Linked DNA regions of Saccharomyces cerevisiae S288C. Changing the gene in region 1 together with any one later gene gives a genetic interaction. Each region holds a gene or a part of one and is shown on either strand. Other genes may lie near its edges. The genes, in order: GCN20, LYS20 and ARD1.

Region 1 (8,054 bases):
ATTTTACAGCCAGAGTACAAAGATAAGTATTATTACAGTAAAGAAAAAGGGGAAGAAATGGGCGAGGTAGCAAACGTAAATGAAATTCCGGTCAAGATAAGAAATCATAAGTATCCTGCGAAAGAACATAACTTGAGGGTTAAAGATTTGTTGTTAAATCGCAATCCGAAGCTATCAAAGATATCCACAGCATTTTTTATTGCTGGTGAAGAATTAGAGGGAAACAAGTATTGTGACACCAACAAAGATTTTAGACAGAATAGATATTTTTATCATTTGTCAGGTGTTGATATACCTGCTTCGGCGATATTGTTTAACTGTAGCACAGATAAGCTGACATTGTTTTTGCCAAACATCGATGAAGAAGATGTCATATGGAGCGGTATGCCTTTGAGTTTGGATGAGGCAATGAGAGTGTTTGACATTGATGAGGCCTTGTACATATCTGATCTGGGGAAAAAATTTAAAGAATTGCAAGACTTCGCTATCTTTACAACCGATTTGGACAATGTTCATGACGAGAATATTGCAAGATCACTAATTCCTTCAGACCCTAACTTCTTTTATGCTATGGATGAAACTAGAGCAATTAAGGATTGGTATGAAATTGAAAGCATCAGAAAAGCTTGTCAGATTTCAGACAAGAGCCATTTGGCCGTTATGTCCGCGTTGCCCATCGAACTGAACGAGTTACAAATACAAGCTGAATTTGAATACCATGCAACCCGTCAAGGTGGTCGTTCTTTGGGCTATGACCCCATTTGTTGTTCTGGACCGGCATGTGGCACTTTACATTACGTCAAGAATTCAGAAGATATCAAAGGTAAACATTCCATCTTAATTGATGCAGGTGCAGAATGGAGACAATATACAAGTGATATCACCAGATGTTTCCCAACTTCAGGCAAGTTTACTGCGGAACATCGTGAAGTTTACGAAACCGTTCTTGACATGCAAAACCAAGCAATGGAAAGGATTAAACCTGGTGCTAAATGGGACGATTTACATGCACTGACACACAAGGTTCTTATTAAACATTTCTTAAGTATGGGTATTTTCAAGAAAGAGTTTTCTGAGGACGAAATCTTTAAAAGAAGAGCTTCTTGCGCTTTTTATCCCCATGGACTAGGGCATATGTTGGGGCTTGATGTACACGACGTTGGTGGTAATCCAAACTATGACGACCCAGATCCAATGTTTAGATATTTAAGAATCCGCCGTCCTTTGAAAGAAAATATGGTTATCACTAATGAACCAGGTTGCTACTTTAATCAATTTTTGATCAAAGAATTTTTGGAAAAGCACCCCGAAAGATTGGAAGTTGTCGATATGAGCGTATTGAAAAGATACATGTATGTCGGTGGTGTTAGAATTGAAGATGATATCCTTGTTACCAAAGATGGTTACGAGAACTTAACTGGTATTACTTCTGACCCTGATGAAATTGAAAAAATCGTTCAAAAAGGTTTGAAGAAACCCCGTTCAGGTTTCCACGTAATCGTTTAGGTATTAACTTTTTTTTACTCGCTTCTAGAAGTTTAGTATATTCTTTTGTACACAGAATTGTATATTTTTTTTATAATCTTGGATTCACCATTTAACTAGATTTGGAAATATAAGGAATGGCACTGAAAAAATTAAGGACCAACCCCGAAGAGCAAAAAATGAATGCGAATTCTGTGGATCGAACACAGGACCTCCAGATAACTTGACCGAAGTTTTTTCTTCAGTCTGGCGCTCTCCCAACTGAGCTAAATCCGCTTCTATTTATGAAAAATTCATTGTTACAGGAACTATAGGACTATAATAACTAGCTGCTAACACCTTTAAATGTGACTTTTCTCATAAGGAAATCTAGCGATTCAGAATTCGAGAATTTTGCAGATTGCAAAGTTTTCTTTTTACCATAATATTTGAGAATGTTGTAAAACTTGAGATAATTATTCGGATGTCATTGTTGATTGAAGATAGCATTCCTATGAGTCGCCCTCGAGGACTTGGATCGAAAAATCTACATAATATTAGTAATTACTATTATTGTTGGAATTGGATAAACCGTCGTCCACCTATTTGAGAAATAGGTAATTATTATATGAGTTATTTGGTTCCTTTTTGTTAAAGTAATAATTTGAAATGCCATCCATTTGGTAATATTCATGTTATTGGCATATTATCATATGCGGTTCAGGAAGATGACATAAAAGTTGAGAAACAGTTATCAACCCTAATGGAAGCTGAAATGCAAGATTGATAATGTAATAGCATAATGAAACATATAAAACGGAATGGGGAATAATCGTAATATTATTATGTAGAACTACCGATTCCATTTTGAGGATTCCTACATCCTCGAGGAGACTTCTAGCATATTCTGTGTACATAATATTATGGTCTTGATCAACAATGCAATCCCAACAGTTATCAAATTATTCAGAAAATTGATCACATTTTCGATAAATCTATTATGAAAGTAAAATTTTGACTCATACCTAAGTTCTCGTTATTCGTTAATCTTATGAACTCATTAACCTTGGCGTTTCAGCATCCGCTATGATTACTAGTGCTTAAACCTTGTTATTCATGCCTCATAATTGATGCCATCTTCTAACCTCGAGCGTGATAAAATTTTTGTAATATGAACACCAATCGGCGGAAGATCATCCCAAAGCCACATATGATGGTGCCTTATAACATTAATAACAACTTCAACTGCTGCATACCGATAATATCTTGACGATTATGCATTCGTGTCCTGATAGCTAATGCCATGAAACAATTCTTTTCAATCGCACTTGCACCTTCGTGAAATAGAAGGGTTATCTGGGCTTATCAGACTTGTCCACAGTTTACATATAATTTTTTTTCTGTATTAAATTTTGTGAGCTTTCTTTTTACTCAAACGAACTGTGTTATTTTTCGTTCATTAAATGCGTACCTTTAAGCATCATCAAGTATTGCTCTTCGGGAAAAATGAAGTAACCTTGTTAGGTTAATTTCACTAGTACTATACATATTTTATCCTGTATCATACCAGAGGATCATTCTAGCCACAATGGTCGATACGCATAAACTAGCAGACGACGTTCTTCAGCTATTGGATAACCGTATCGAAGATAATTATAGGGTTTGTGTTATCCTAGTCGGTTCTCCAGGCTCCGGTAAGTCTACTATTGCGGAAGAACTTTGTCAAATTATAAATGAAAAATATCACACATTTTTGTCAGAGCATCCAAATGTTATTGAGGTTAATGATAGGTTGAAACCTATGGTTAACCTAGTAGACTCTTTAAAGACGCTCCAGCCCAATAAAGTAGCTGAAATGATTGAAAATCAGGGGCTGTTTAAAGATCATGTTGAGGATGTTAATTTTCAACCAGTCAAGTACTCAGCCCTTACATCAAATAATGAAGAATGTACCGCAGTAGTTGCCAGAGGTGGTACTGCGAATGCCATAAGAATCGCAGCAGTTGATAATCCAGTCAATGTTAACAAGTTGGCCCAGGATAGTATCAATATAGCGCAAATAGTCCCAATGGATGGTTTTCACTTATCTCGCAGATGTCTAGACCTATTCAAAGACCCACAAACTGCCCATAAAAGAAGAGGTTCGCCCTCAACGTTTGACAGTAACAATTTCTTACAATTGTGTAAAATTCTAGCCAAGACGTCCCTATGTAAGGTCTCCTCACATCATAAATTTTACTCCACTTCAAGCGTTTTTGAGAAGTTATCCAAAACTTTTAGCCAAACAATTCCTGATATCTTTGTTCCAGGATTTAACCATGCACTAAAAGACCCAACTCCAGATCAGTACTGTATTTCCAAATTTACAAGGATAGTTATACTTGAAGGGTTATACCTACTGTATGACCAAGAAAACTGGAAGAAAATTTACAAAACATTAGCTGATACGGGAGCACTTCTTGTTTATAAGATTGACATAGACTATGAGGCCACCGAAGAAAGGGTGGCCAAAAGGCATTTGCAATCAGGGTTAGTCACGACTATTGCAGAAGGACGAGAGAAGTTTCGCAGCAATGATTTGTTGAATGGCAGGGATATAGATAATCATTTAATTAAGGTAGATAATATCGTCCATATCCGCAACGACTAGAAGGTTAGGCGGAACCTTGTATATATTTTTGTAAAATCGAACTGAATACAGATAATTAAGGCGCGCAAGCAAAAACGGCATTCTTTATGAACTCTGCAGAGGTGCCCTTTATTACGACATATATGGGAAGTAATACATATTGATTCTACAAGAAGTTCAAGCCAAGGTTTAGATATGAGTGACCAAATCAACGTTTTGTCAATGCAACAACAACAACAGCAGCAGCAGCAGCAGCAGCAAGTATATATGTCTCCTCAAGCAGAAAACTTGAATCATATGTACTTGTTAGTTAACAAGCTAGTGAAACAGTTGAGGGAAAATCAAGCAGAAAAGGCGAAAATACTAAGGAACATAGACATATTATCCGGAAGCTTAAACAAGTATGAGACATCTGAAGAACCTCACGATACCACGGAAAATATTGCATTATTTAATAGATTTCTAGAACAAAGAGGGAAAGCTCCTATTACTGAGAAAGAGCAACTAAGCAACAATCTGGATGAAAATGCGAAAGATGACGTTATGCTAGGAGTGTTGAAGCGCCAAAATTCAATGCTCCGGAAAAGTTTACAGGAATCCAAGCAGGTAACCCTTGAATCCATGGATTTATTGTCTTACTCCGAAGACTCTTTAAATTACATTGTCGCCCAATTAAGAGGAAACATTCTAATGCATCATAAAGAGACTATCAAATTGATTAGGCAGAAATTCCAGACGGAGACAATTCCCCTCGAAGATGAAGAGTTCAAGATGTATTTGGAAAATGTTAATGGTCTGCAAAAATTGACAGATATATCTCACACTTATAGATTACTACTGAGGTTACATGCACAAGATTGAAACTTTGCCCTTTTGCTTCCAATGAAAGCAAGATGACAAATATACATGCTTCTTATATTCGAGATTGCGCAAAAATTCGAAGCTCATTTATGAAGGCTTTTTCCATTCTGATATATGTTTATGAAATTGAAAAAGTAACGACGGTGGAACATTTTGCGGGAAAACAACTCACAGAATGTCTTGACGTTCTTTTCCTGCAGTTGCGTGCGTAAGATATCCTAAGCTACTGTATTATTTGCCAAAAATAATAAAATGTTGGAGGAAAGCCTCTATAAATACACAGGATATATATGTTTAATAAACATATATAATTTCCTCAATATTTGCAAAAGCATTTTGTTGTGATGAGAGTCGATTATCGTTTACCGATTAGTATCTATACTATTAATATATTTTCATATAATTAGTATAATCTCATATACGCTGCCAGAAGATAACATGAAAATTAAGAAACAATCATCAGCTTCAATGGAAGTTGAAGTGCAAGGATAAATAATACTATTTAGAAATATGGATTTTCCCTCGTTGACTAGAAGATCTGTGAAGATTGGGTGAATAGTTTAATAATTATTGGATCCCATTATTGATCAAGGCTATAATACTTGACTATTTGGCGAATTTTGAGATAATTGTTGGGATTCCATTGTTGATAAAGGCCATAATATTATGTATACAGGATATACTAGAAGTTCTCCTCGATGATATAGGAATCCTCGAAATGGAATCTATATTTCTACATACTAATATTACGATTATTCCTCATTCCGTTTTATATGTTTCATTATCCTATTGCATTATCAATCCTTGCACTTCAGCTTCCTCTAACTTCGATGACAGCTTCTCATAACTTATGTCATCATCTTTACACCGTATATGATAATATATTGATAATATAACTATTAGTTGATAGACGATAGTGGATTTTTATTCCAACACACTAATTATCATTCGTTACATCTCAAATTGGTTAGAGAAGTTACAAACATTATTATTGATTTATCCAAGGATAGTTTTCACAAGAAAACAAGCGCAAGTGGTTTAGTGGTAAAATCCAACGTTGCCATCGTTGGGCCCCCGGTTCGATTCCGGGCTTGCGCAGTTTCTTTTTTTTCTGATTTTTATTTTTTTGTTCCTGAAAATTTTTCGTATTATTAGATCTAGTAGAAAATGAAAGACATTTGAAAAGAGAAATATATATTCTGCAGTAAGCTAGCTAAGACTAGTCGTTTTGAAGCGCTAAAACGTTAACTTCGATTCATAGCACAAAAGGTAAATAACTTTTTTGAAATGGCAAGCATCGGTTCGCAAGTGAGAAAAGCTGCTTCTAGTATTGACCCTATCGTCACGGATTACGCAGTGGGCTACTTTAACCACTTGTCCGGAATAACTTTTGATGCTGTTCAAAGTAAGCAGGTAGATTTGTCCACTGAAGTGCAATTTGTGTCCGATTTATTGATTGATGCGGGTGCGTCAAAGGCTAAAGTTAAAGAACTATCGGAAAGTATTTTGAAGCAATTGACTACTCAACTAAAGGAGAACGAAGCCAAATTGGAATTGACCGGTGATACGTCCAAGAGATTACTTGATATTAATGTCTTAAAGAGTCATAACAGTAAATCCGATATCAACGTCTCATTAAGCATGCTGGGTGTGAACGGTGACATCGAACATACTGGTAGAAAGATGGAAACAAGAGTTGATTTGAAAAAACTGGCCAAGGCTGAACAAAAGATCGCAAAGAAAGTCGCCAAGAGAAATAACAAATTTGTTAAATACGAGGCTTCTAAATTGATCAATGACCAAAAGGAGGAGGATTACGATTCTTTCTTTTTGCAAATCAACCCTTTAGAATTCGGTTCATCCGCTGGTAAATCCAAGGATATCCATATTGACACTTTCGACTTGTACGTTGGTGACGGTCAAAGAATTTTGTCCAACGCCCAATTGACTCTAAGTTTTGGTCACAGATATGGTCTTGTGGGCCAAAATGGTATTGGTAAATCTACTTTGTTAAGGGCTCTATCTAGAAGAGAGCTGAACGTCCCCAAACATGTTTCGATTTTACACGTGGAACAAGAGTTAAGAGGTGATGATACAAAGGCTTTACAAAGTGTGCTGGATGCAGACGTTTGGAGAAAACAACTATTAAGTGAAGAAGCCAAGATCAATGAAAGATTAAAGGAAATGGATGTATTAAGACAGGAATTCGAAGAAGACAGTTTAGAAGTTAAAAAATTGGACAATGAAAGAGAAGACTTGGATAACCATTTGATACAGATTTCTGACAAATTAGTCGATATGGAATCTGACAAGGCTGAAGCTAGGGCAGCATCAATCTTATATGGTTTGGGGTTCAGTACGGAGGCACAGCAACAACCCACTAATTCCTTTTCCGGTGGTTGGAGAATGAGATTGTCCTTGGCAAGAGCCTTATTCTGTCAACCAGATCTTTTGTTGTTAGATGAACCTTCCAATATGTTGGATGTGCCATCCATCGCTTATTTAGCAGAGTATTTGAAAACATATCCAAATACAGTTTTGACAGTTTCTCACGACCGTGCATTCTTGAATGAAGTGGCTACAGATATCATTTATCAACACAACGAAAGACTAGACTATTACAGAGGCCAAGATTTCGATACCTTTTACACCACAAAGGAGGAACGTAGAAAGAATGCTCAACGTGAGTATGATAACCAAATGGTTTACAGAAAGCACTTGCAAGAGTTTATTGACAAATACAGATACAATGCTGCCAAATCACAGGAAGCTCAATCAAGAATTAAGAAATTGGAAAAATTGCCCGTTTTGGAGCCACCTGAACAAGACAAAACCATTGATTTCAAATTCCCTGAATGTGATAAATTGTCTCCACCAATTATCCAATTGCAAGACGTTTCCTTTGGTTATGATGAAAACAACCTATTATTGAAAGATGTTAACCTGGACGTTCAAATGGATTCCAGAATTGCCCTTGTAGGTGCCAATGGTTGTGGTAAGACTACACTGTTGAAGATTATGATGGAGCAGTTAAGACCACTAAAAGGCTTTGTATCAAGAAACCCAAGATTACGTATAGGCTACTTCACTCAACATCATG
Region 2 (7,805 bases), on another chromosome or scaffold:
CCACTGATGTAGTTAAACTTTTAAAGTAGGGTTAAAATGTCCCTTTAATATATTTTTATAATTACTTACAGATTGTTGTTCTTATGTAAATTTTATTATTAAGCTCCACCTCCCCTAAAGTAAAATGGATAACATAAAGATTTTTCAAGATATGAACACCCTAATATGTGCACGGTCGTTACTTATATGCTATATATAAACTGTTGAAAGTATTCCCGTTACAAAAACAAGAAGACTCCAAGAAACCATTACTCCAAGTACAAAAGAATCATTTCTTGCCAAAGCCCTCCAATTTTTGACTAGCTTCTTGCAGAATCTTAGTAAAGCGGAGTCGTTGGTCATATCATCATCATCCCCATTTAAACTACCATAATATAACGTCGTATTACCTAACAACTGGCCTGAATTCATCCCGAAGTGACCCGGGCTGCTATTTATTACATCAGGACTATCCATCGAAATGTAATTAGCACTCAGTGGATGTTGGTACTCTTGATTTGTAGCTACTCTCTTACTGATAGTATTTTCGTCGTCGTCCTCAAACTCCCCCTGTGAATTATTAAACCAATCGTCTAGCTCTCTTCTTAAATATATCGAAGTGTTGATGAGGAAGTTTAGAGATATGAAAGGAATTATTACGCATAAGATGAAATTTGAAATGGTTCTTGAGCCGAAGTAGTTCACCACGGGAGTAAATAATCCTTCATGGCCGCGAACATAGACGAAATACATCGACAGAATCAATGATTCCCCAATTGTCAACATGATATTACTACCAACTACCAATATCATTAACAATAAACCGGTGACCAACTGGTATGCCGTGCTAAATGCAATAAATCTCTTTATCGGTGTGAAGCTTTTAGTAGTATTTTGTGTATTTTCATTAGGAACTGCCCATGTATAACCAAAAGATTTCTTCAAAATGGGCTGTTCTTCGTCTATGGGGAAACTCAAATCACCCGTATCTAGAGTTGTCAACTTTAATGAATTGTCGATGGGGTTCATCATGATAATTGTATCGTCCTGCGAATTATCTGGTACATGCAGCTGCTTCTTATTTTCATGAGGTTGCTGTCGTATGCTGCCATAAGTTGATGACGATGAACGTAGAGGTTTGATTGGATGGTACTCAGACGAGTATACGTTATTCGATATGGAAGATGAGTCATTTCTTACTTCAATACATTTGGACAACGTAATATCACTTCTGTCTACGACGTTGGGGCGATATTCTGTACTACAACCGCAGTCATCGTTATGGCTCATATCATTATTGTTACAGTAAGTGTTGGCGCTTTCCTGGTGTGTGAAGCCACTATTAATGTTTGGATCGGCGATTTCTTGGTAGTTAAACAAATTCCCTATTATGCATATGGTGAATTCACCCAGGGCCCATGATATACCAAAGATATAGGCTTGTCTTGGAATGATGTGCCAAGAACATTCCTTATGCTTGATCGTACCGCCTTCGTGATCTTGCACCTGAGGGTACGCTAAACCAATCAGTATCAAAAGCATAAAGACGTCGTTGATAGGAAAATCCACTATCAGGTTCAATATTAAAAACCTTTGATTTATATTGAATAGAAAGGTCTTCAGGAAATAATAAAGAAATGGTGAAAAAAGCCCCAAAAGAAAGGTCCTGAAATAGTCCTGCGAATTTGGTTTGAACATCAATGGATCATCATACTGGTGTAGCAGTAATTCGGACGACGCATAGAATAGTGAAAACAGTGAAATACTAAACAGCGCAGAAAGTATCACTATGTGAGGCCTTGTGGAGCAGAAAATAGGCATAAAATATGATGCTGCATGATTTAATCGGACCATATTCAGATATATTTCACAGGTATCTTTCTTTTGTGTAAAGAATACGAGGTATGATTTAAAACGTCAAAGAATGGAAGAGAAATTTTGAATGCGAAGAGATGCTAAGTATATTCTTGGTGTTAGGCTAAGCTTGTTGAAACAAAAAAGAAGGAATTTTGAAATTTCGTATCTTAAGTATGGACTATTGACGTTATTTGGAACTTTTCCATGTTCCACACTGTTCCTATCTTTCTATGCCTTTCCGCATTGGGACGAACTTTGCGCGAAGTGGAAATAATGAGTGACATTAGTCAGACAGACAAGAGGAAAATTCAAACCAGAGGAAAACTAGAATGATAGTTATCGAAAATGCAAAAGCTCAGTGTGATGTATTATTATATAGTTTTTCTGCTGTTTGACTATAAAAGAGTAAGAATATTCTAAAAAAAAAAAAAAAAAAGCTTCTGCGGAAACGCATGATTATTTGGTCATCGAGTCAATTTTATTTTCCAAAGAATCAATCTTCTTTCGTTGTTTTTCCAGTTGTTCTTTCAAATGGCGTAGTTGCTCCTTCTCACGCTGCCTAACGAAGAAGTCTTCCGTGGCCCTTTCCCTTTTAACAAACGAATCCTCTGAGCCTGACCCTCTTGGGGTGCCGGTAGAACCTTCAGAGTAGAACCTTGCGGCCACACCGCGCTGTAATTGCAATGAGCGTGCTAATGCTGAACGTGGTAACATATTCTATTGTGGAACTGTATAAAAGTGTGCTGTAGTAATGCGTGTAAAATGCACTCCTTTGGGATAGCAAAAACAAATTCAACCACGAACAAATTCAAAGAAAGTTTTAAACAAGATACAACAAGTCAAGTTATGAACCCCTCCTTCTCTAACGATTGTTAACGCCTTTTCTAGCCCCAAAACCTCGTTGCAGTGGAAAACGATGGGTGTCAGCAACTAGACAGTTGATTGGCATAATTGTGAATATCTGGATATTTGGTACCCGCAGCAGCCTCCCCTTATTCTGCCGCGAATGCGCGCGTCTGATTGGCCCGGCATCACGGGAGAGTAAATCTTCTTCTTTTAATGCGTATCGGACAAAGTAGATGGGAAAAAACATCATTTAGATATGTAGATGTAGATGCTATATATCGTATGTAATAAGTGAAAGAACATAATGTAATGGTTTGGGAACGTTAGGCGGATGGCTTAGTCCGCTTGGCGGCGGGGATGGTGGCCAGTTCCGGTACATCGCTGTCATTCTTCTTGTTCTTTTTTGCAGATAGTACTTGAGGAGTGCTGACCTCTGCGTGGAAGTTCTTGATGATAGAGTCAACATCATCGATATTCAGCGATCTGACATCACCCAGCTTCTTAATCTTAGCAGTAACTTCCTTGATTTGGTCATCCGTCAAGTTCAAGTTCAACTGGTCGACTCTGGCTTTGATGGCGTTCCAGCCAGTTAGTCTGTTGGCGAAGTGGATATACCTCTTCATACCGAAATCGTGAGGGTCCAAGATTTCGTAGGTAGATGGGTTAGCCAAAATGGCCTTGGCATGGATACCTGCTTTATGTGTGAATGCACAGAACCCGGTGATAGGGTTGTTGAATGGAATGTTAACTTCCACAGCATCAGCGACCAGGTTTTCAATGTCTCTGATCTTGTGCAACTTGTATTTGGACTTGACATAGTCTGGTGCGGCAACAATCATTCTTGCCATGAGCCCACCTAGAGGAGTGATACCGTTTCTTTCACCAATACCCAGTACACTGACGTCAATCAATCTGGCACCACCTTCCAAAGCAGTGTAGGCGTTTGCAATGGCACAACCAGTATCGTTGTGGAAATGGCATTCGATGTCACATGAAACAACACTCTTCAAAGTTCTGATCAGTTCATATACTTGTCTTGGGTTGGCACATCCAACTGTGTCGGCAATACCGACTCTATTTACACCGATCTTGTCAACGGTTTTATAAATGTTCAAAAGATCAACGAGATCACTTCTGAAGGAATCTTCAGAGGAAAATCTGATTTCAATACCTTTGGATTTGACAAATTCAATGACTTCAACAGCACTCTTGGCGATGTAGTTCATATCCTTACCGTGGGAATATTGTCTTAAAAATTTGGAGGTGCCGATAACGACATCGACACCGTCGACACCAGTCTCTACGGCGACTTTGGCGTCATCCATATGACAACGAATGTGTGTAAGGATCTTGGCCTTTAAACCTAGTTTACATATAGCTTCACAGTCCTTTCTTGATTGTTCAGATGCTACTGGTGAGGTTAACTCGATGTAGTCCACACCGAAATCGTCCAAGGCTCTAGCAATTTCGATCTTTTTTTCAGTATCGAAGAATGCGTTGGCAAATTGTTCACCTTCTCTCAGCGTCGAATCGATTAACTGGAAATTATTTACATTAGAAAGATAGTCGCCCGGTTTGGCAGCATATGGATTTGGTTTAGCAGCAGTCATCTTTAGGAAAACAATACAGGGTCCTTCCTTTGTTTGTTATGTAGATAAGAAACAAGAATAAACTAAACGGGAACATATCAAATACACTTTATCGATAAGCAGCCAATATCATTTATATATATCATCATCGGGTATTTAAGCAGGTGTAAAAAATGGCCAGCGATGAGGCCCTTAAAACTTGGTAATAATATTACTCACGCATCATCGTCAGCAAGAACCTAAAGCGCAAATTAAATTATTGCCTATTGCTCTAATGTCGTCGTCGTCCACTACCGAAGAGAAAATTCCCCAGCAATTTTGGTCATATTTTTCAACCATGAATAAGGGATAGTGGGACAAGGCCAGGCCATTGTGACATTACTCATTTTTTTGCCACTTGCAACGCTAGTAACGCCGTATCCACAGAGAAACCGGGAGTGGCGCGAAGAGATCTTTTTTTTCTTTTACTACGTGTGATCCTCTAAAGAATTCTTTTTCTCAACCTAGCAAAGTAACCCACGCTTAAACTTCCTTGCAGAGAGTTCCCGTCGGAATTTGTTTTTTTCTTACTAAAACTACGCAATATTCCGGCGGAATTTGACGCAGACGTAACATCAGTCATCAGTTAATTTAGAATAACGATGAGCCAGCTGATCGGGTACTGTGGACGGAGTTTATAAGGAAGAGAAAATGCTGAGTGCATTAGTCATAAGAGAGGAGCGTGATCTGTAATTCCCTCTGCCTGTGCGGATCACTTCCTACAATTTATTTTGTAAAAGAGAGCACGTCTGTAGTTTCAAACAAAATCACCAACTGTGCTTTGTTCGAATACCCAGGGAACTGTTTGTTCGTCGAATCGAGATAATAGCAAACAAGAGTCTCGGTTGAGTAAACGCTCATAGACAAGAAACTAGGAACATGGCTAAAATCTTGCATCGATGTAACATTAATATAAATAGTTTGCAGCAACCGATTTACACAAAAACTGAATCTCAAGCGCACGCAGTATACCAAATTTGGTTCCTAGAGTTTTTTATATGGGCGGCTAACCTTGGAGAGATCAAAAAAGTGTACTTAACTACGAATGACATTTTAGAGGGTTTCAAGCGTATTATAATGAGATAATCTTTCAGCTGGTAGCAATTATGGTCTAATAATTTTTCGTTTATTCGGCCCTCAACCATTTGTTGAGCTTATACCGATTTAGAGCCCATAAAACGTCGTGATAATCCGCAACTTCCACGCTACCACTTTCCACCATCTATCAAAAAAAATAAGAAAATTACCATGTGTAACAGCTCCTTCCATAATTTGAAGCAGGCTGTGTTTATTCAGTTCTTCGTTTGTTTTTCTTACTTCAACGCTCCTTGTTCGATAGCTTTATTTTCTTGTTTTTCCTCCACTTTTGGATGGATGGACTTGACGGCTGTCTCCGCCGGGGAGTAAGCATCGGGCATTGTGCCAAGATAGTATCTAAAGGGTGTGCTATCTGGCACAGTTTCAGTTACTAGTTAGCCATGAAATTTTTCCTTTTCAACGTAGCAGTATCCATATCATTGCTCTTCATCGATAGAATCATTTTATCACAATACCAAAACTTCATCCGGTGTATTTTAGATTAAAGATGATACGTTCAATATTTATACCGCCAACTAGTATAACTGCCACTTCTCGACTGTTCTACGGAATGAGGGCGTATTCAACAAAACTTGAAAAGGCTTCACTCCAAAAATATCTGCATGATCCTGTTAAAGTGACTGTGATACCAATAACGGACAAAGAATCATTCATTTACTATAAGCATACCGATAATCTCTTTAATAGTCAGTCTAGAATATTAAAAGCAGAAAAGTGGATCGTTGAGAAATCAGCAAAGCTTTGGAGAAAACTGAAAAAGTCCCCTAAATCGTATAATAAAAAAATAGTGTCCATGGTGCAGTCTCTGTTAAATAGCACACCCTGGTCAGAAAATAGTCTGTTAACCATACCAAGTGAAAGCTATATATTGAAGAGAATTAAGGGAGAGAAAGATAAGACCCAAGAGATTCGACTCACATTGAAAGATTATACCGTAAAGGCAGAACAGGTCGATACTCAACCCTTACACGTGTATTATCCCCCTGGAATTTCTAGCCCTGATGAGTGCTTGAGACAAATGAAAAAGCTCTACCAAGAAGGCTTAATTTATCACAAAAAATGGACTTTATATTGCCTTTTAGGTCTCCCGCTGACAATTCCTCTAATTTTAATACCGCTTATACCAAATGTTCCAGGGTTCTACCTATCTTATAGAGCTTATGTTAATATCAAAGCTTACCTTGGTGCTAAGCACTTGAAGAGTCTACTGGAAAGTTCAAAACAAAATTTAGAATTCAGGGAACTGTTGGGATATACGGAAGTATATAAACGTGGGACCAGCAGCCGTACGCAGGGCAATCAAAAGGAATCAAAAGGTGCACCAGAATTACTACTTAACAAGAAAACCCTTCCGTTGATCTTAGATTTCTTAGAGGTTCATGAACTAGAAAGCGACTTGAACAAAGTCATCCTTCAAGAATCGAAATCTCAAGAGAAAAACAAAATTTAATGTAGATTGTCCACTATCTCATGTAAATATACATAACAGGTATTCCTGAGCGTTCGAAAATTAGACTGTACTTTTCTGATGCGCTCCCGTACACCTTTGACATATACAAACATCCGCACATTTTATAGCTTTCTTTCTAGAATTTTTTCCACGCGCTCTCGATCAATGAACTCTTAAAAGTAACTGACCCCTAACTTTTTCCCAGGCAAGGCTGGCCTCATTACCCTACCCGAAAGTTTCACTTTTCCCCATGGCAGATGGACGATATTTTAACAAGACGAAACTGACCTCGTCTTCTATAAAACTGGACTTCTAAGCAACTCTCATTTATCTTATATCCGTTCCATTTTGTACTAAAAGAACCAGACCACATCGATTCAATCGAAATGAGAGCCAAGTGGAGAAAGAAGAGAACTAGAAGACTTAAGAGAAAGAGACGGAAGGTGAGAGCCAGATCCAAATAAGCGGATTATGAGTAAATAACTCTAATTTTGTTTTAAATTCTTTCAAGAGTATCGTAATGTCATTGATGAATTAACATGTTAGTTTCTATTCTACCTCATAATGGATCTAAATTGCATACTAATCTCACGGTGGGGTGTAAACCATTGCCTACTATTTATATAGTGCTTTATATATGTCTCACATAGTTTAATCAATTGTCCGTTTTTTTGAAAACAAAAGTTATTTATCATTGTAATTGTGCTTGGCAAGTCTTGTATTATGTTACTGTGTCATTTCATTGAGGTACATCTGTTAATTTCCTTTAATTATTTTTTATCTTATTAACATACGCCTATATAAATTTTTTGAAATACGAAGAAAAGACATCTAACAAATATACCAGAAGATAAATGCTACATATATCTTAATCGGTAGATTCAGCAAATCTTTCTTGCATAGTGCTCAACAATTTTTCGAATTCGCCATGGACTTCCTTTTCACCC
Region 3 (7,667 bases), on another chromosome or scaffold:
CCGCAGGTCCTCTTGGAAGAAGTGCAGAAGCTGCAGCTTCTGCATCCACAGGTGGTGTCTCGGCAGTTTTTGCCTATTCCAAAAGCAAAGGTTTATTTGCCGGTGTGTCTGTGGAAGGTTCAGCCATCTTGGAGAGAAGGGAAGCTAATCGAAAGTTTTACGGCGATAACTGTACATCAAAGATGATTTTGTCAGGTAGAGTAAAAGTTCCACCAGCAGCAGACCCCCTACTCCGTATCTTGGAATCAAGAGCGTTCAACTTTACACGCCACGACCATGATGACAACGCTAGCGGTGATGATTTTTATGATGACGGTCAATACAGCGACAACACAAGCCATTATTACGACGATATTCCAGATTCCTTTGATTCTACTGATGAATCCTCAACACGTCCAAACACAAGATCATCAAGAAGAAGAGGAATGTCGCTGGGGTCACGCAGTCGTTATGATGATGATTATGATGATGATGGTTACGGACGTGGTCGCGGGTATGGAGATTTTGATAGCGAAGATGAAGATTATGATTACGGAAGATCTCCAAATAGAAACAGCAGCCGCAATAGAGGCCCACAGATAGATAGGGGTACTAAGCCGCGTGCGAATACCCGATGGGAAGATGATTTGTATGATAGAGATACTGAATACTCCCGTCCCAACCATTCCGGTAGGGATTATGATAATACCCGAGGAAATAGGCGTGGTTATGGTAGAGAAAGGGGTTATAGCCTTGGTCATGGCCCAACTCACCCCAGCAATATGAGCAATGTCGATGATTTATCACATAAAATGTCGAAGACAGGGTTAGGTAATGAATCCACTGCTACAAATTCGGCGACACCAACGGCTGTTGCTCTCTACAATTTTGCTGGAGAACAACCAGGCGACTTGGCTTTCAAAAAAGGTGATGTTATTACTATCTTAAAAAAATCAGATTCTCAAAATGATTGGTGGACAGGCAGGACTAACGGAAAAGAAGGAATATTCCCTGCAAACTACGTTAGAGTTTCTTAAATTATCGTCCTCCATATGTCTCGTTCCTATATATAGAATTTTTTTTTAGAGTTATGAAGTTGAGGATGGGTTCCTTATTCAGCTATGTTTACGAAATGTTTGTAGTTATATAATCACAATGGAAAGCTTCGAGGAACCACTTCTTAAGTACTCACTTAGTAGGTGGAGTATTTCTTGAAACTGGACTATACGCCATTAAACTAAAAAAAAATCGAGGCTGAAACTCCTTGGAATAATTCTGGGTAGATTAAGATAGCAAAGAAAACAATACTCTATTTTTATAGACATACGTACTTTTGTACCGAAAATTGCATATTGATGAACCTGCCTTCTTCCTTTAAAAGGAATCAAACTGTAAATCCGAGGCTTTCAGCAGCTCTAGTGACTTGTTTTTGTAGAATTTTCTGTGATTCTAATGAAGTATTTGTCATTAATAAAAAGTGCGATAGCCTTTCTGAGTCATGCTCCCAAAATACGTCAAAAATAAACTCGGAAATGCTGCGCAGATTTTCTTCTTTATTTAAACCAGAAATACTTATACGTTGTAAATTTCTGTTTATAATTTTTTTTAAGGACTCAAGTATTTCTGCATTCTCCTGTTTAGTTCTCTTAGGCTGATGCAGTTTTTCGTCAACAGTATTTGTAATTAAATTAAATGCTGGATGAGGTTTCATCGGCGTAGCTACGAGAGAGTTCATGTTTGTGTAGGAATTTGAATATGATGAGAATGGGGAAACTACTTGTTGAAACTGTGACGTTAATCCCTTTTGATGAGCTGATAACTCTTGTGTGCGGAAACGCATCATGGAACTAATGTTGATTAATTTCTTATAATTTTCATTGTTGTTACCATCGTCATAGTCTATCTCATTTAGTATATTATCATTATTCTTTGACCATGATGCCTCAACCAAACTACTTCCAATTAGTCTCCTATCCAAAATATTAAATAATCTCTCAGCATCACTACGAGAAAAACACTCAACATGTCCACAAAATGTCCAATTTAATGAGTTATAGTTTGTGATCTTAATTTCACTGAATCTTATTTTTTCTTGTAAACATAGTTGAGAAATAAACTCCTTATTGCAATTGAAGCTTAAATTTTTTAGATAAACCTTTGTTTTCTTGTTCGTTCCAATTTGATTATGAACAGGCTTATCTTTACCAGGACCAACCCAAATGGTATGGTTTTTAAAAATTGTTTTATTCAAACATTTCTGTGCCTTTTTAGATTCTTCTTCATTTTTATATGTGACGAACGCTTTATGTGGTGTGTTCGCCTGCTTTTCAGAGATGAATACAGATTTTATGGGGCCAATAGTGCTGAAGTAATCCAAGACCTCTTCTTGTGTTGTGTCAGATGGTAAATTTTTGACTAATATTGTTTTCGAACGAGCATTATCTGATAAATTATTGCTAGCCAATAGTTCGTCTTCGATAACTATGTCGGAGCCAATCATTTTTTTTCTTTTTGTAAATTCAGGTCTAGTTCTTACTTCTTTGTCAAAATGCAATCCACATATAATTTTATTTCCAAAAAATTCTTGGTTATTGTATTTTTTGATTACATTTCTAGCAGAAATATCGTTATCGAAATAAACGAACCCAATGTTTTTTCTTCTTTCTAGAAGACATGACAGTACATTTCCGTACTCGATCATTATTAGATAAAATGATCTTGTGGTCAGTTGGGGATTTTCCAGTGGTAAGTTAGAGAAAAAAACATTTGTTCCGATGTTTTTTCTAAATAATGTATTTTTCATAGATGGCATTATTTTAACTTCTTGACCAAAAAAAACCGTATAATTAAATTCTTTCCTTGCAGATTCTGCATCGTTTTTATCCTTGAAATTCAAATAGCCATAACCCAATGATTTTTTGGTGAGAAAATCACGACACACTTTAGCAGATTCAAAAGATTGATACCTTTTGAATATCTTCCTTAGCATTTCTTCAGTGACAGTTGATTTCAGATTTCCTATAAACAAACTATTTGTCTTTGAAGTTTTCGTGATATATTTTTGCACGCTTCCCTTTGCAACAGTTTTTTCAAATACTTGCTCTTGTTCTTTCTTTTCTTGAGTTGCATTTTTACAATCGTATTTTTTGAGGCTATTCTTTTCTTTGACTTCAGCATCCTTTAATTTCACATCACCGAGCTTATATCCAGCTCCTTGCACGCGTACTAGTGCTTGGGCTGATATCGTTTTGAAGCTTTTCTGCCTTGCATCTTTATCATTTGGGCAACTTTTAGAAATCGATCTGGGATTTTGCTTGCTATTTAAAGAGATATTATTCAATACATTACCATGAGAGTTTGGCATCTTTTTTTAGGGAATTTTTCGTATTTCTGCTTTTATTGACTTGGATAATTCATTATGTTAAGTAAGCTCTAATTGCTAAAAATGCCATAAAAAGAAAACTTATTGGAAAAGGACCGCCATTTCGAACGGAATTTGTGACACAAGTTCATTTTAGCAAAAAAAGGTCCTACCCGGATTCGAACCGGGGTTGTCCGGATCAAAACCGAAAGTGATAACCACTACACTATAGGACCGGAACTTACTGGTCGATCTGAAAATCATGATCGAATACGTCATCCTTGCATTACCCAAAATCAATCAATTTTTAATGAAATACATCAAATTTTGATTGTTGTTATGAAACTTCAAAATATCATCCGTTTATTAGTACTCACGCTACTAGTTTATTGTCAAATAAGTTGTAAGAAGATGGCATAAACATTGAGAAACAGTCATCAATTCTAATGAAAGCAGAAATGCAAGGATTGACAATGTAATAGGGTAATGAAAAATATAGAACGGAAGGAGAAATAATCATAATAACCTTATGTCGAAATACAGATTCTGAGAATTAGGTGAATTTTGAGATAATTGTTGGGATTCCATTTTTGATAAAGGCTATTATATTAGGTATACACAATATACTAGAAGTTCTCCTCGAGGATTTAGGAATCCTCAAAATGGAATCTATATTTCTACAACCTAATATTACGATTATTCCTCATTCCGTTTTATATGTTTCATTATCTTATTACATTATCAATCCTTGCACTTCAGCTTCCTCTAACTTCGATGACAGCTTCTCATAACTTATTTCATCATCTAACACCGTATATGATAATATATTGATAGTATAATTATTGGTTGATAGACGATAGTGGATTTTTAATTACATTTTGAGGATTCTTATGTTCTGGTGGATAACTACTAGTATATTCTGCATAGCTGATATCATAGCCTTCACCAACAAGGAAATCGCAACAATCATTAAATCATTCACTCAATATTCATAATCAATGGATGATGTTAAATTCTTATTTTAACATTTAGTTTGTGATTTCCGGTAAAAGGGTAGTGTTGTTTTTTTGAGAGCCTTTTCTGACGGACAAATGGTCGCAGGAAATATAAATTTATATTTAGTAATACGCAATCGCATACACATAAAAGAAGCCGAAATATTTTATCAAATACAATAGAAGCTAAAAGCAAGAATTGATAATGTAATAGGATAAAGTAATATAGTTATGGAGATTTATCGACGCCTTTTTGTGGATTCCAAGACCCTCGAGAAGAACTTCTAGTATACTCTGTGTACGAATATTATAGCCTTTCTTCAACAATGGATTTCAAACAATTATCCAATTATTCACCCAAAATTTAATATAAAACATACAAGGATTGCAATTTCAATTGACTTATACTAAGGCATAAGATCCTGATATTATGCTTACGACTTATATAATAAGTGGCAACTTGGCCGAGTGGTTAAGGCGAAAGATTAGAAATCTTTTGGGCTTTGCCCGCGCAGGTTCGAGTCCTGCAGTTGTCGATAATTTTTTTAAAAAAAATTGTGGAAATTTTGTCATTCAGTATTAAAGATTTTCTATGCAATAAACTAATTAACATTCTACAGAAAAAGTAAACTAATCTTTTTAATTAAGGGAAGACTCACTATCATTATAAGTTGCATTTTGTCCACTAGACTCATAATCGGAACAATTAACATCCAATGTATTTGAAAGTCTCTTTTTACTTAACTTTGGTGCTGCCCTTGGTGTCTCTTGGCCAACAAAATCTCCGTTATTAGAAATCGAGACCGGATATATTGGAAGATATTGGTAATTTTTTTCTTTATCTAGACTTTTGGTCTGATGGGGCAGTCTTGTTTTCTTAAACAATGGCGAATCGTATACGTTAACATTCGGATAAAGCAACTCCGGCCGTTGGATGGGAATGGCATAGTTTAGGTTTGGGTTATGACTTGGCGTCAGGAACGTTGGGTTTCCAACGAAATTTTGATACGGGCTAAAATTATACATAGGAGAAGGAGCAATATAGTAAGGAACTGGAAACATGGGTGCTTCTCTTTCTACATTTATTTGAGAAGATTGAGAAAGAACCGGCGTTGAAGTAGATTTTGGAGGCTGCTCAATGTCCTCGAACCTTAAGGAATTATCAAATGAGGGGCGCTCTATTGTTTGTCTTTCGTTTTTCAAGGTATTGCTTGATTTATTTTTCAAATATCGAACATCTCCAGCCTTTGAGTACTGTTGAGCATCACTTACAAAATTTAATCCTGGATGTGGGCTTTCTAGTCTTAAATCGACATGTTTCGAATTGAATATATTTTCTGATTCTGTTTTTTTTGTTTTTCTGATTTCCTTATTCTTGATTTCTTTACCAATTTTAAAAGCAAGTGGAGAAACTCGCAAGTTTGGGGTCTTCTCTTGAAGAGGTTTTTGAACTTTCCTTTTAGAATGTGTTGGTGACCCTAATTCGAGTAGCCTAAAGCGTTTTCTGGGTGCCATAATTATTCTCGACTCAACTTCAATCCGTTTTCTTTCTTCTTATTGCGCTAATTGTCTGTTAGACACTTTTATGAGACTTCCTTTTTGTCGGCGGCTATTTCTCAATATACTCCTAATTAATACATTTCCGTGCAAAGGTACTAACTAGCTAAACGGATACTAAAGAATTCAAATGTGAATTTAAGCATAACTGCAGGTAAATCAAGAAGCTTGAATATTATACTGTAGTCAAAAATTAGATGTGTAAATACTGTGTATTATAATTCTGAAGTTTATTCAGAAAATATCATGGAACAAATGATACGCTGAAGTGCCTTCTGCCCGGAGATAAAGAATTCATAAAGTATAATCTCCATGAGACTTCCAGGACAAATATTTTCTCTTAAAGCGCTTGCTTTAGTAGTATTGCATCCAATGCTAATTTGTCTTTATTGATCTCTAGGCTCAATCCTCACTTTCTCGCGTCAATTGGTTTTTTGAACAGAAAAAAAAAGCACCGTCTGAAAAGTTTGAAACCTTTTGTCAGCAACGAGTAATTGCCAAGTGAAAAGGGAAACCTAAATACATACGATCAAGCTCCAAAATAAAACTTCGTCAACCATGCCTATTAATATTCGCAGAGCGACAATCAATGACATTATATGTATGCAAAATGCCAACCTTCATAACCTACCCGAAAATTATATGATGAAATATTATATGTATCATATTCTCTCGTGGCCAGAGGCTTCGTTTGTTGCTACTACCACCACTTTGGACTGTGAAGATAGTGATGAACAAGATGAGAACGACAAATTGGAATTGACCTTAGATGGGACCAATGACGGCAGGACAATCAAGTTGGATCCAACATACTTGGCTCCGGGCGAAAAATTAGTTGGATACGTTCTCGTGAAGATGAACGACGACCCCGACCAGCAAAACGAGCCACCAAATGGTCATATTACTTCCTTAAGTGTCATGAGAACCTATAGAAGGATGGGGATTGCCGAAAACTTAATGAGACAAGCTTTATTTGCGTTGAGAGAAGTTCATCAAGCGGAATATGTTTCCTTGCATGTGAGACAATCTAATAGAGCAGCTTTACACTTGTACAGGGACACATTGGCGTTTGAGGTGTTGAGTATCGAGAAAAGCTACTATCAGGATGGTGAAGATGCATACGCCATGAAGAAGGTTTTAAAATTAGAGGAGTTGCAGATAAGCAACTTCACCCATCGCCGTTTGAAAGAGAATGAGGAAAAACTAGAAGACGATCTAGAAAGCGATCTACTAGAGGATATCATTAAGCAAGGCGTAAATGATATCATTGTATAATTAAATCAACCTATATAAACGTAGTATATTTTCATCCAGGCTTCTTCACAAGCTCTGTTAGCTCTTTTTGAGCACGGTTCTAAACACTGCAGTGCTAATTCGGTAGAATTGTGTGAGCATGAATAGTAAGGAAACTGTGCATGCAAGCTTTCTTTTTTTATATATGTAATATCCGGCAGATAGGATATCTTAATTACATCTATCTCGTCTGCAAGAAAAAGTTCACGAATGCATCTAATGTTTAGACATCATAGAAATGCATAAAAATGAAAATGGCTACCCTATTCCTTTTCATAAACCACTTTATCGACCTTCACTTCTCCATTAACGTATAAATAAATGTATAACGTGCAGGTATTGCCTTGAATATCCAAGAGGCAGAAACTTGGTGAATTAGACCCATTTATATCCGAATCTGACATATCAACCTCGTCTTCCTTAAATTGGTTTTCAGGCTTAACGTTGCTTTCATTCTCATTCTCACGTTCCCCAGCAGTGCC

Evidence for each region.
Region 2: mutations in GCN20 (region 1) and LYS20 together harm fitness more than expected from each alone (negative genetic interaction), as found in Saccharomyces cerevisiae (2 studies listed by BioGRID).
Region 3: mutations in GCN20 (region 1) and ARD1 together harm fitness more than expected from each alone (negative genetic interaction), as found in Saccharomyces cerevisiae (2 studies listed by BioGRID).

The regions. Positions count from the first base shown.
Region 1 is NC_001138.5:156,247-164,300, forward strand, and holds the start of GCN20 (putative AAA family ATPase GCN20), read left to right. Parts: upstream 1-6,241; coding exon 6,242-8,054. Other genes in the region: YFR006W (putative Xaa-Pro dipeptidase), read left to right, coding at 1-1,506; YFH7 (Yfh7p), read left to right, coding at 3,053-4,114; FAR7 (Far7p), read left to right, coding at 4,289-4,954. UniProt on the Saccharomyces cerevisiae protein: Acts as a positive activator of the GCN2 protein kinase activity in response to in response to low amino acid, carbon, or purine availability.
Region 2 is NC_001136.10:129,924-137,728, reverse strand, and holds LYS20 (homocitrate synthase LYS20), read right to left. Parts: upstream 4,293-7,805; coding exon 3,006-4,292; downstream 1-3,005. Other genes in the region: AIT1 (Ait1p), read right to left, coding at 190-1,833; INH1 (ATPase inhibitor), read right to left, coding at 2,293-2,550; MRX19 (Mrx19p), read left to right, coding at 5,896-6,858; 60S ribosomal protein eL41 RPL41A, read left to right, coding at 7,245-7,322; VMA1 (H(+)-transporting V1 sector ATPase subunit A), read right to left, coding at 7,727-7,805. UniProt on the Saccharomyces cerevisiae protein: Catalyzes the aldol-type condensation of 2-oxoglutarate with acetyl-CoA to yield homocitrate. Carries out the first step of the alpha-aminoadipate (AAA) lysine biosynthesis pathway.
Region 3 is NC_001140.6:130,230-137,896, reverse strand, and holds ARD1 (peptide alpha-N-acetyltransferase complex A subunit ARD1), read left to right. Parts: upstream 1-6,450; coding exon 6,451-7,167; downstream 7,168-7,667. Other genes in the region: YSC84 (Ysc84p), read left to right, coding at 1-1,016; MIP6 (Mip6p), read right to left, coding at 1,364-3,343; SPO13 (Spo13p), read right to left, coding at 4,975-5,850; retromer subunit VPS29, read right to left, coding at 7,449-7,667. UniProt on the Saccharomyces cerevisiae protein: Catalytic component of the NatA N-terminal acetyltransferase, which catalyzes acetylation of proteins beginning with Met-Ser, Met-Gly and Met-Ala.